Mus musculus: one gene and its partners. The protein of the gene in region 2 interacts with the protein of the main gene of each other region in a biochemical or structural test. Links are inferred from orthologs where the notes say so. Each region holds a gene or a part of one and is shown on either strand. Other genes may lie near its edges.

Region 1 (4,696 bases), on a different chromosome or scaffold from region 2:
GCTCCGGCCTCACCAGACACGCAGGTCAGGAAGAAACGCTGGGGGTCTGTGATGCGCAGGTTGGCCAGCAATGTTAAGTCAACAGACGCACCTAGGACCAAACAACAGTGACTCCATGGTGGATCCTGCCAGCTCAGCAGCCCCAGGAGCCCGGGACTCCAACAGTAACTTGTGTTAATATTTCACTGTGTCCTTAGAAGACTTCACTTTTTCAAAGATTTCCGCCCATTCCCTTCCCTTACACATGTGCTCGCTCTTTACCTGCAAGCCTCTTCGTCCTAAAACATAAACAAAAGCACACATCCTTCTCTGGTCCAGACAGGGAATGAGCTACGCTTCTGTCTCCTTCCCTTACTCTGTCCGTGTCAGGTCATTGCCCTGACTCCTGTGTGAACCATTCCCACCAAGGCTATCCCTGAGCCACCTGTCCCTGCCCCATCATGGAGGTGCAGGTTAGAAGAGTCGCTGAGACTGGAGTGTCATGAGGACGCACACCCTCTTTCTTGCTTAACTAATTGAGGACTATTTGACTGGCTGGGATTGAAGATCGGTTAGGGCCAGAGAGACACAGACACAGGTGGGTCTGGGCCCTACCTTGGGAAGCTGGAGGACCAGACACAGGCATCCCTCCCAGATGGAGGTGTTGGCTCAGAGGGAGGAACATCTAACCAGCAGGGGGGCGGGGGAAGGAAAGGGGACAGGAAAAGATGCAGATAACAAACTTCATTAGAAGGTGCTTGGGTGAGGAGGAACGAAAGGTCAGGCGTAGGGAGAGGCCACCCTACGCTCAAGTATGAGAAATGTTGTAGTGTGGGGAGGGGAGCTGCCCCGGGCTAGTGCAACTGGAGCGTAAAATCTGTACCCTGAAGTGGGCAAGACCGAGGAGAAGAATGTGATCAGCCTGCTTCAGACCTGTGACCCCAGACCTTCCAAGGCCCCTCCTTCCCTGGCCCTTCCCTGCCTGTTAGCTGTCAGGTCATCAATTCATTTAAATGCCACTTAGCATATTTTTGACGGTCTATCGTAAGCCAAAGAAGCTGGCATCTCTTGGCCACCTCGCGGGCACCAAATGCCCTTTCTCCCTGGCATCCTCATGGCTTCCAGTGAAGTTGACATCCTTTGCTGTAATAACTACGGAGCACATTCATCCACTCCCTCGGCATTAACTGTCACCCCTGAGTCAGTAGCTCTGGTGTGGCCTTTCAGCTCCCAATGCATTTGCATCTGTGTTTCCTAAGCTACACCCTCACCTCTCCCAAGCTTTCTGAGTCAAAGGATAACACCCATTACCTGAGACACTAACTTCAGAGTCATCTTGTGTTCCTGCTGTCATAATAATTAATGTTTATTGGATGTCAATTATGTGCCGGGGCCCTTTAGTGATGCTCTCGTCCTTTCAGGACCACACTGTCCTGGGAGGTGAGTGTTATCCTCTTCCAGGATGATGGTTTTATAACCAGGGAGCAAAAGCTCAAAACTTGCCTAAGGTCATACAGTTAGAAGGGAGCAGAGCCAGGTTGTCCAAGCCCAGGCTCCTCTTCCCTTAGCTTCCAGTCTGCTGGCACATACTTCTGCAGGTTTTTCTTTTTCTTTTCTTTTTTTCTTTTTCTCGTCTTTCTTTTCTTTTCTTTTCTTTTCTTTTCTTTCTTTTTCTTTTTTTTCTTTTTTTTTTCTCTTGAGACAGAGTTTCTCTGTATAGCCCTGTCTGTGTAGCCTTGGCTGTCCTGGAACTCACTCTGTAGACCAGGCTGGCCTTGAACTCAGAAATCCGCCTGCCTTTGCTGCCCAAGTGCTAGGATTAAAGGCGTGCACTACCACTGCCTGGCCTACAGTTTTTTCTTATGGGCTTCCATACCTCCCAAGCTTGCACTTGCTACTCTGTTGACTACCTCTCTTAGGGAAACCCTTCATGACTTTTCTGGTCCTGTGGCAGAGTAAGCTGACTCTCTTCTCAGTGCTTCTCAAAAGCTCTTGATGTCTGCTTCTGTCTGGCCCTCATTCCTGGCCTGTGTTTCCCACCAGACAGAACCACTCAAAGGCAGCCTCTGACTTCTAGTTCTCTGGTCAGCAGACTGAAAGGACCTGCCACCAGCATTCAGAAGCTTCTCCATGCCCTCTGTACACACAGCTCCATTTAAACAACAAACGTATCAACCTTTGGGAGCCCAGCATCATTTAGTTGTCATATGATAGGTTTAGGTGTTGCCATATTCTCAACTAATGGAACATCATTGGTGCTAAATAAATTTTATTATTATTATTATTGTTATTATTTTGAGACTGGGTCTCTCTATGTAGTTCTGGCTGTCCTGGGACTTGCTATGTAGACCAGGCTGGCTTCGAACCTCAGAGATCTACCTGCTTTTGCCTCCTGAGTACTGGAGTTAAAGCCACCATGCTTGTCTGTCCAATGAATTATTGATTAAGCCCAACACAGTTACTCGTGAGGTCCAAGTTGATGGCTGACTTCTGCCCCTACTCACCTCTCCCCCCTCCAGGCAGTGATTCCTAGCACCTGCCTGAGTTTTCCCCACCCTGACCTCATTCTTGGTGGATCAAAATCGTCATGACGCTATGACGACGACGATGATGATGATGATGTCAGTTTCTGCTTGTCCCTGCAATTTTTAAGTTGTGTTAAAATACACATACCCTAGAATCTACCGTTAGAACCACTTGTAAACAGTCAATTCAGTGTTAATAAATGCATTCATAACCTCATGTGAACATCACCACCCATTTCCACAGCTCTTGTTTTTGTTTTTGACGTAAGGTCTCCATAAGTCTTTATGGGGCTAACATGGAGTCCTCTGTGTAGTCTAGGCTGGCCTTCCAAGTGCTGGGATTAAAGAAGTCCACCACCACACCCTAACTGAAATGCTACACTCATTAAACAATAACTCTCTATTTCCCTTCCCCCAACCCATGCTCACCACCATATTGTGAGGTCTATTGCTAGGCTAGGCTAGGGTTTCTTGGGGGTCGGGGGCTGGAATTAAGGCCTTGAAATCAAGAGTCAGGGAGGAGCTCTGCTCACTCCAGGGAAGACTTACCAACATGAGAGGCCAAGAAAAGAGTGGGGAGCAGCAAAGAGGATCCCCACCAGACCATACTCTGGAAGCTGCCCTGGGCCAGCCAAGGCCAGCTGGGCCCGGGGTCAGTTGCTGTGGGTCTGAGTGTTCAGCCTGTCCAGCTCAGTGCACCTCGGTGCTGGGGAGGAAGAGGAAATGATGGTTAGGGTAGGAGGGGTGGCAGGGAGAGAGGGTGGGAAGAGTTGTCGCCTGTAGTCCTCCCGTGTCCAGCCCCCACAAGCCCGGGATGGGTGTGGCCTGGAAGTCTCTGGAAGGGGGGGCATTAGAGGTGGGAGGCAGGTTGTGACAAGGACAGATCTGGGGATGGTTGGGCTCTCTCTCCCATCCCTTCGGTCCCTTCCATCTGCATTGCTGGAGCACGGGAGACAGGAAAGGGAGGAAGCCAGTGGCTTCCGCCTATTGAGAAGGTTTGGAGGCAGGACATTGTTCTGGGGTCTCCCCTCCTCCCAGCACACACACGCTGGGAGGAGGGGAGACACACACACACACACACACACAAATACAAAATGAGGCTCACGTGACTCTTTTTTTTTTCAAAAGTAAACAAGAAACGGTCTCTGTAAGGTTTTAATGCTCAGTTTTCACAAACACAAGTTTCTACCCAATTTTACAACACACGATAAAATGTCCTAGTCTGTAGACTGTGCATTAAGTGTTCACTTCGGTAGCACACACACTAGAATTTGCATTATTCAACTCTTCCTCATATTCTTTTCCAATCTTTTAAAATCACCAGGAGTTTCTACCTAAGTAATATTCTACTGTATTTACATTTGAGTTGCATGTCTTCCGAGATCGGGCGCGTTCAGAGTGGTATAGCCGTAGACGAGTTGCATGTCTTAAGAACAAACGGAAATCCATGATATTTTGGTTAACTCAGTGTATTTACAAAATGAAAAGCTCTATCAAAATACTTTTCACTGGAAAAATAAATAGAACAGGCATTGGATCTACCAAAGTTCATATTCACTTTGGCCGATGTCAGTGTGGGACAGTTCATGACAGCACAATTTACCCTGATTTCCCCAGAGCTGACCAGCTTCCAAGCTAACTGTTAAATTATTTTACTGAGATTTTATTATGTTGTTATCTGGTTCATTCCAGATCATTGTCAGCCAGGCTCTGAGCACTTACAGTTCTCTGACTAACGGTCGGAAGCTTGGTCAGGAGCATCTGGAACACTGGTGGTGGAAGAGTCTGCTGGAACACTTGCAGCAGCTGCGGAGGCAGCAATGGCATTTGTCAGGTGGTCCACACCCTTCTCGTAGTCACCTTGTGCTAATAACCCTTCACCAAGCTGTGTCTCTTCAAGGAAGAATTTCTGAACTGCTTCAGCGTCTTTTAAATCAGGAAACTTGGTGTATTAGTCAGGGTTCTCTAGAGTCACAGAACTTACGGACAGTCTCTAGATAGTAAAGGAATTTATTGATGACTTACAGTTGGCAGCCCAATTCCCAACAATGATTCAGTCGCAGCTGTGAATGGAAGTCCAAGGATCTAGCAGTTACTCAGTCTCACGCAGCAAGCAGGCAAAGGAACAAGAGCAAGAGCTAGACTCCCTTCTTCCAATGTCCTTATATTGTCTCCAGCAAAAGGTGTAGCCC
Region 2 (4,236 bases):
ACTTATCTTGTGTATTCCTATCTATACATGAAAGTACTGAACAAAGTTTTTTATTTTTCTTTTGGAGCAAGCATCTGCCACATGCGTTCATTGCACACTCACACTGAACCGTGATGTGAGTGGTCACATAAGCCACAGCTCAATGACTGCAATCAGTTTCAGATGTAAGCAGCTCTCTTGCTCCTCCCCACTTACTGGCCCATCTCCATGCAGAAAGACCAATGGCAATGTGAAACTGCACAAGATGATCACATGCTCTGAACTTTAAAGCCTCATACTGCAGGTCATGGGTCTGCTTAAACTGTATATGTATAAAATGGCATTTCTTCAAGAATGACTGGGTGAGAATGGGGAGGGATGTTCAGAAGGAAAAGGAATTTGCTGCATGAGTCTGGTGACATAAATTTGCTTTCCAGCACCCATATAAATGTGCAAGCAGAGAAGAAAGTCCATGAAGTTGGCCCCTGATCTACACATGCACATTATGGCACACATATGCACATATTCACACTTGCAGCAGCCCCACACACAATAAAGAAAAATAATGCATGGACATATTGACAAGCTGTGTGGTTATACGGTTCCAGGTATTCAAGTCATAGAGAATTGTAAGTTCCATCATGACAAACACATCCCAAAAGTGCTTAGATATCTCTGTTATATCTCTGCATAAAACCAAGAACAAGGGATCTTAATGGATACTTTAGAACCATCTTTTCTTATGATAATAACTATTGTGGACTATCTCTTTCACCATTTTTCTACTTGTAATAAAGTCCCCTCTCCTGTCTCCTGAAAATGGAAGCAATTAAAATTAATTATGAAACCAGAAATACCCCAGGTTACCCCAGAAGTCTGAACTAATTCTAAGTGTTCCTTAATTTATGTCCTAGACATAAGTTACATTGTAATGTCAAATATATAACAATGACAGTATGAGAGATTTTATCAAGGTTACAAAATATCAAGAATGAAAGACAAATTCTAAAATTTCTTTTAGAATGAAATTGCAGATCCAAAAACTTAAAAATAAATGTTCTGAACTTAGAGAGCTGTGAAAATTGTCAACTAAATCTTATAAATGCTTTTCAAAATAATGTCTGTCCACAGATTTTTGCACTGGCATTGAAGCTGCAGAGGACATAGTAGCAAAAATCTACTCTCCTGCATGAAAGAAAATATTTCCAAAGCCAGAAGGAAAGAACTCTTACCACCTTCTTTAGTGCAAAGGCTGATAAGGTTATGAACTGTGTCCATGAGCTCCAGTTGTTGCTTCTGCAGGATGCTGTTGTTGTTGGTAGCTCTACTAAGTTGCTTCTCCAACTCCTGGATGATGAATGTCTGACGAGAAACCAAGCCTTGAAGGTTTTCTTTCTCCTCCTTCAAGGTGTCCAATTCTTCTTTGTGTTTTCCCTCCATTTCTAAGATTTTGTGCTCTAGTAAACTACAAGGAAATGAAAATAAGACATAATTCATACAGTGCTGGAGAGACAATACTGCAATTCTACTTGTTCCCAAGAGTAAGATTAGAAGCTTTAATTATTAAGTATATATGTCTGTGTGCATGTGTATATATGTACAGCTATGCACATGTGCTCAGACATGCCATGATGCATGCAGATTTCATACAATGACATATAGGAGTCAGTCCCTTCCTATCTCTATCTGAGGATAGAACTCAAATCATCAGACTTGGCATTAAAGGACCCTAAGCCCTGAGCAGTCCTGCTGGCTCATAAAAGTATTTCTTTTAAGAGACAAAAGTCTATGTAGTATTAGCCATTTGAAAAACACACATCAAAACTCCCCTGAGATTCTACTTCACCCTGGGCAGAATGTCATCATTAAGAGAATAGCAACAGAGCCCCGGAGCACTTACTGCTCTTCTGGAGGACTCAGGCTCTGTGCTCAGTAACCACATGGCATTTCAACCTGCAACTTCATTTCCAGAAGGCTGAATGCCTCTTCTAACTTCTATTGGCCCATGCATGCACATGGTGCATGTATACACATAATTAAACAATTACAACAATATCATCAAATGCTGACAAAATATGGACCAAATGAAATGCTTATATACATAAGAATCTACTAAGGCAGGTTCTTCACTATTTATTAACCAATTCTTAATAAATCTAGCCTGCATCATCACAACTCCTAGCTTTACATGTGACACCAGACTTCTGGATAAGAGCATCATGGGCTCTGAAATCACTATGCAGTTGTCTTGGGTAAGGAAGAACTCATTAGGTGAATATCATAGTCTTACAGGAAACATGGAGTACTTTGCCCAGAGTGACGCAACCTTACAAAGCTTCTCTCAACACTCTCTAAATGATACTTTCCTTGTATACTGTGCAGGAAAACCTACAAAACCGCAGAAGCCCTTTTGGATCAGAGGAACTGACTTAAAATAAAAAGCATTTTTTCACTTTATAGAGTGTCTAATATACTAGTATTCTTCAGGGAAAAGGCTTACGCAGTTTTCTTAGTTCTGTTTTCAGGCCATTCTAGCAGATCTTAGTTTACAAGGTGCTATTCCAATGCAGCACACCCAGAATGGGCACTTAATTTACCTTGGAGAAATATAGAGCTGAATCACTCCTATAAGTCTTCAAAAAGAAGACACTGGGGAGTATTTTAAATTTAATACTTAAATTATACAATCTAGTGTGTTTGAAGAGTCAAACTTTCCAACTGTTTGTGCTAAGGGGCAAGATGCAACATCTGATTGGCTTTTGCACAGATGAAGAAGTGTGGCAAGAAATGCTCAAGGGGATTCCAGGTCTCTGCTAACAAATTTGCTCTCCTAAGAAGAAGGTGGCCCAGGATATAGCAGAACAGCTGCTGGGAAGCTGGGTCTATGTGTGAGTCCTGCCTAACTCACAGAATTTTTGAGAGTGTGCCAAGATTGACAAATGAAATTTTCACATTGATACTTCGCCCCCCACCCCCCCCCAAAAAAAAACAAGCCATTTTTCTCTCTTGAGTTTCCTTTCTTTTACTCCATTGAGTTTCCTTTCTGTTACTCCATTGAGTTTCCTTTCTTTTACTCCATTGAGTTTCCTTTCTGTTACTCCATTGAGTTTCCTTTCTTTTACTCCATTGAGTTTCCTTTCTTTTACTCCATTGAGTTTCCTTTCTTTTACTCCATTGAGTTTCCTTTCTTTTACTCCATTGAGTTTCCTTTCTTTTACTCCATTGAGTTTCCTTTCTGTTACTCCATTGAGTTTCCTTTCTTTTACTCCATTGAGTTTCCTTTCTTTTACTCCATTGAGTTTCCTTTCTTTTACTCCATTGAGTTTCCTTTCTTTTAGTCCATTGAGTTTCCTTTCTTTTACTCCATTGAGTTTCCTTTCTTTTACTCCACGCCTGTACAGGAAGAATCCCTACCTTCTGCTGAGCATACAGGGAACTCAATTTGGAAAGTAAGTAGCTGAAATCCTGAGGGTCATTTCTATTTGTTTAAATCCCTGTTTAGGAGTGAAAAGGTTAGTCAAGTAAGTTGAGGGAGATGAAAGAAAATATTTCTAGGGGCTAAGATGATAAAGTGTCTTTTTTTCTGTGCCAGAGTTTGTTGCTGCTAGAGAAACTCATTGTTAAAAAACAAAAATAAGGTACAGAGAGGGGTGGAGGGACAAAGGCAGTCAATGTTTCTATTGTTCATAGTGGTTAAAAATGCCATCCACTTAGTAGTTAACTGGCAAGTTCACTGCTGTGGGTACAGAGGAGCCTTCCTCTCTGCTTGGAGATTTTTGGCTTTTGATCTGAGCGTTAACCACAACTGATACTTCAGCTCATTTTTAGCCTACTTTTTAGTTATGTTTGCTCCTATTTCTGGAATAGTGATCAGATACATGACTCCCACAATTTATAGTCATTAACTTATTAGGAAACTGTGCCTCAGACTCACATGAGTTACGGTATACCACCAGGAAACCTTTAGCATTAACTATTAAAATGAGGATCGTGTATATATAGCTCATGACTTGGAAGCTAAAGCGTCATATGATGTGGTACAAAAGCTCTAAATAAACAGTTATTTTCCACAAGCAAAATCAGAGCTGACCTTCCAGGTTTCCTAATTAGCAGGCGATATCAGATTCTAGTTATAAGTCATACTTATTAGTTGCTAAATGCCAATATTTATGCAGAATATAAGATGGTAGTATTTCTTCAGAAAAGATTTTCTTTATAGACAGTAATCCTCAGAGAAAAATTATGAGCAACAAGAAA
Region 3 (4,756 bases), on a different chromosome or scaffold from region 2:
GTGGAACTGTAAGTAACAAACTGATATCTTTGGAAGAATTCAGAGCCCCTAGGGAAGTGATTCTCAACCTGTGAATCATGACCCTTTTGAGGGTCACCTATCAGATATTTACATTATGATTCACAACAGTAGCAAAATTATAGTTATGAAGTAGCAATGAAAATAATTTTATGGCTGGGGCTCACCACACCATGAAGAACTGTATTAAAGGGTCACAGCATTAGGAAAGTTCTAAAAGGACACAGCATAGTCTTTTGAGATCGACTTGGATAATTTCTTTCCTCCTGGAGAGATGTCATAGAAAAATTAGACTCTTCCTGGAAGTTCTTTCAGGGTAGGGCTAAGGGGGAAGTGCTAACAAGAGCAATGGTTGGAAGGGAGAGTTTCTGTAGAAGGCCAGATCTTCCCTTGGAAAACAATCCCAAGAGGTGTCCTGATCCCAGTCCAAGGAGAAGGCTCCTGGGACCACTTTCCTGACCTTACTATTGCGTTTCCTTTGCCAGCCCAGACAACATCTCTGTTATCTCTGAATCCAGTTGTTTAAAATGTCACACAAGACAGGAAAGACAGCTGAAGATGTGTGACCTGAAGACTTCCTATCAGTGTGAATCATATAGGACATCCATGATGAAACAGAAGTGGTGTTTTTTTTTTTTTTAAGTGTACACAATTCTTTAGAGCCTGCAGCCAGGTTTGGTGTAGATATGGAATTAAAGAGGGGGTAACACTGCTAAGTTCTATGAGAACTTGTTTGCAAGCTGAAATTGGCAATAATACTCCAGTGGAAGGAGCAAGCGCCAGAATCTGAGTTGTTATGGAAGCCACAAACCTCTTCCAGTTTATGCCTTAGCAGGCTGCTTTGCTACCCAGAGCAACCTTTATTGAGGCAAATACAGAGTCTTTATTCTTCCATTATGTTTGTTCAACAAAAAAGGAATATCAGGCCACCAAGTAGACTAGACATATAAGCTCTATATCCCCTTCCACATTAATGAAGTACACTATTAGAGTCTGACTTGAAGGAAGAACTCCTGAGGCTGTTTGTGTGATCACCAAGCCTCACTCAAGTTCATGGAAGCTTGGGTACAGAATGAAAGTCAGGAATTAACAGAGACCTTCAGCAGAAACCAAGCTTTCTGTGTTCTACTTTCTGACAAGAACATGACCTCCTCCTTCTTGTCATCTTCGCTCCAGAAATCAGTTTCTAGCATCAGTGAGACAACTGTTTTGGAACAGAACTTTTTTGTATGAATTCATGACAACTTTTCTAAACTTATTTGTAAAATGCCATAAAAAAGTCACTTAAGGAGAAAGACTAAGTTAAAATAGTTCTGTGTATGTGTGCGTGCACATACGTATGTGAACATACTATTAGTTTATTTAACTTAAAACTAAGTCAGAGCAGAACTAGATACTTGGACTTTGTATTATTATAGTCTCTGGTGTAAAATCAGTCCCATATTCTATAACGCTGATCAGTGTGACTTGTGGAAAGCAAGATGAAAGTGAGGAACCATAATTATTATTTAAAAGTACATAGTAACAAAGACATCAACCTGTCTCTACATTAATATAAAGACGAATCCAAATTTACAGCAATATATTATGCTGTTATGTTAATTATAAGTAAGTTACTACATAAGTAATTGGCACCATCTTAGATACTCTTTCAGCAATTTACATTACTCTTAAATATTATTAAATTTCTGATATGTTGGTTGTTGAAATCAAATTGAAAAGTTACATGAGAAATTGCACACAATTATCATACTTTACTGGGTTAAATTTTTTTGAATACTTAACAAAATATTTAAACATATAGAAAAATATAAAAGTAACATCAAAAGTATTTCTTTGTATCAAATGCTATACTATATATAGCCTCACCATTAAGTTTGATAAATTTTCCCAAATTCATCTCCTGTGTCAATTACATTTTTATCATAATAATTAGAATACTTCCAAACCAATTCGGGGAATCCTATGGCAATGATAATGTGTCTGTGATCTGCAGTTTGGGTCCCCATGTTTCTCCTAGCATGGTTTACCTATGCTGAGTGAGTTACAAGGCACCCCACTGTGTAGAGCCTGTGATACACATACAGAACCCAAGCTCATCCTGGCTGCCCTCTCTAGAGGTGCCACTACAGGACTTGGCAAAATACTGAATCCGGTGAGCTTGGTAATTGACTACATTTTAGTTAGCTTGCTAGGGCTAATCTTTATGTGAAACATCAAAAAATTAAAGTCAGTGGCATAGCCCTAACTCCTGGACCCCTACCTAAAAGACGAAAAGCCCTTAACTGGACTACTGAAATTAAAAAGCATGGAGATACACAATCTTTACAGAAAAGTGGTCTTGTTTTTAGTTAACAATGACGTTTTTGTACATGGCTAGGTAAGAATTTTGTTTCTACCAAAAAAAAAAAAAAAAATCATTGAAGTCTTTCTTTAAAGTGATTACAACCCAAATTTGTTGTTATGGATAAGAAAACACCAGAATGAGAGGCAAGAAAGAATACTCCAAAAAAAAAAACAAAACAAAACAAAAAACAAAAAACAAACAAACAAAAAAAAAAACCAGATCCCTTCAAATAAGGTGACTTACTCAGTCCTGGGAGAGACCGTGCAACCCAGGAGGCAGCATCTGTCTACAAGAGATGGCTAGAAAACCCAGCTGGTGCCGCTGGAATCTGAACTTCAAAACCGTTGCCATGTGTAAACTGGAGAGTCTCAGAAAAGCAGTGTCAGGGTCACCAAATCGAAGGTTTGGTGAGAGAGAGAATGGCGAGAAGTCACTGTTGTTAAAACATGACACACACACACAAATAAACATCAAGCCAAAACTTACCATAAAGGAGCAAGCTGACTCCACAGAGAACTAAGCCGGCTAAAGAGTCCATACTTCCCCAGATCTCCCCATCCAGCGTCCACAGATGAGCATGAGTCCCTGGGAAGCTTTCAACAACTCACAACTTTGCGACTTCCCGCTCGCATGGTCCACTCGCTCTTGTTTACAAGTTGGCGGCAAGGAGAAACACCACAGAAGCAGGCGGTAACAGTCTCATTTCTGTCTGAGCACAGGGAGGGTTAAGTTCCTTTTTCCTGTTTCCTTTGCAGATTAGGATGGGAAAGGCTGTATCTTAAAGGCACTTGGTATCAGCAGGGCTTGGGGCAGAGCGAGCCCTATCCATCTTGCCCTTCATCCAAGGCTTATCTTCTGCTCCTGCTCCGGCTCCTGCTCCTGCCTTAACTGGATTGTGGGGCAGAGGGATCTTTGTTACAAGTAAGGTCCTGGTCAGCATTTTCAGGAACAATAGGGGTATCCTCTCATAGGCCAGGAATTGAATAACAAGCCCTCCACCTATGTATGGTATGCGATGAGGACCAGCCCTTGCAGGCTAAGCTGTTCTCTGGGGTGCATTTGGGATCCCTGACAGAAGGGGCTTTGGGGCACGGGGAGCAGCACTTGCTCTCCTGTTTTTGTTTTCACTCACAGGGTTTGAATTGGGCAACAAAGTTTCCTGTGATGAGAAATCATAACCTGGAAGGCAATCAATTTGAGGGAGCGTGGTTGAGGTCAGCTCTCAGCGGAGCCACTAGAGACCAGATTCCACAGCCATTAGCCTATTTTCTTACACCCAGATCGCCTGCCTGTTGGCCCTGAGCCCAAATATACGCATGCTACTGGCTACAGCTTTAATTTTTATTAGCATTTCATCTGAGTGTGATCTAATTCGTTGGAGAACTTGGCACAGGAAGATTTTAGTAATGTGAATAATTTCATAGTTATTGGCAAACAGAATTTCAGATGCAAATTATATACAAAAATATGGGAGAGGCACTTTTTAAGAGAGTGACTTGCTCTACAGCTTAGGCAAGCCTGGAACTAGCCTGGAGCTCATGATAACGATGCTCCCTCAGCCTCCCGAGTGTTGATACTACAATCATAAACCACACTCTTGGATTACTCCGGAGATTTTTAAATAATCAGGCAGGTGAGATGGCTCAGCCGGTAAAACCAAGACTGAGTTTAATTCAAAGCCCGTGTGATGGAAAGACAGACACCTGAAAATGTGCACCTCCCATGTGACCTAAATGAATACACACATTCATAAAAACTATAAACAACAAAGTTATAAATCATCTCTATAAAGACCCAACAGAAGTGATTATGTCTACAGGAGCAGAGTGATGGATGAGTGATGAATTCTCCAGCAAGCTCAGGCACCTGAACCTTCCTTACCCAGGTGATCACTTGCTCTCACTGGGAATGAAGCAAGCATGCCACTAGACACACGACCTTGCATCAAGGAAGGACTGCCCCTCCCTTTCCCACCAGCCACAGGAAGAGACACGGAGGCACTGCTAGTCTTGGTGGATTTCTGCCTTAGGTTTTATCACTTCAGGGCTGATCTTGAGTGCCTGTAATGCTTCCAATCTGCAGGGGTAGATAGCTCAGCTCTGTCCTCAGGCACAGCTGAGGGCAGACCCTGACTCAGCTGTTAACAGGTCAAGAGCAGACACTGAGGACTAGTAATGTTTCCAACCTGAGGAGTGCATAGCCCTGTTCAGTCCTCAGGCACACCTGAGGGCAGACACTGGCTCAGAGGTAAGATTATGATAGCTATTTCCATTCCAGAGACTTTTAAATGGCAATAGTATCTCCTTCATGGGTTTTGGTTTTGTGTTTAAGACAGTGTTTCATTATGCAGCCCTTACTAACTGAAACTTAGATATTATAGCCAGCCTGCAA

Evidence for each region.
Region 1: the proteins of Angpt1 (region 2) and Tie1 interact in a biophysical measurement, tested with the Homo sapiens proteins (2 studies listed by BioGRID and IntAct, with this or other methods). The link is inferred for Mus musculus from reciprocal best matches to the Homo sapiens genes ANGPT1 and TIE1.
Region 3: the proteins of Angpt1 (region 2) and Tek form a complex in vitro, tested with the Homo sapiens proteins (6 studies listed by BioGRID and IntAct, with this or other methods). The link is inferred for Mus musculus from reciprocal best matches to the Homo sapiens genes ANGPT1 and TEK.

What each region holds. Positions count from the first base shown.
Region 1 is NC_000070.6:118,486,595-118,491,290, forward strand, and holds the start of Tie1 (tyrosine-protein kinase receptor Tie-1 precursor), read right to left. Parts: upstream 3,256-4,696; 5' UTR 3,112-3,255; coding exon 3,054-3,111; intron 92-3,053; coding exon 1-91. UniProt on the Homo sapiens protein: Transmembrane tyrosine-protein kinase that may modulate TEK/TIE2 activity and contribute to the regulation of angiogenesis.
Region 2 is NC_000081.6:42,495,016-42,499,251, forward strand, and holds part of Angpt1 (angiopoietin-1 isoform 1 precursor), read right to left. Parts: intron 1,445-4,236; coding exon 1,212-1,444; intron 1-1,211. UniProt on the Homo sapiens protein: Binds and activates TEK/TIE2 receptor by inducing its dimerization and tyrosine phosphorylation.
Region 3 is NC_000070.6:94,737,788-94,742,543, reverse strand, and holds the start of Tek (angiopoietin-1 receptor isoform 2 precursor), read right to left. Parts: upstream 3,256-4,756; 5' UTR 2,904-3,255; coding exon 2,852-2,903; intron 1-2,851. UniProt on the Homo sapiens protein: Tyrosine-protein kinase that acts as a cell-surface receptor for ANGPT1, ANGPT2 and ANGPT4 and regulates angiogenesis, endothelial cell survival, proliferation, migration, adhesion and cell spreading, reorganization of the actin cytoskeleton, but also maintenance of vascular quiescence.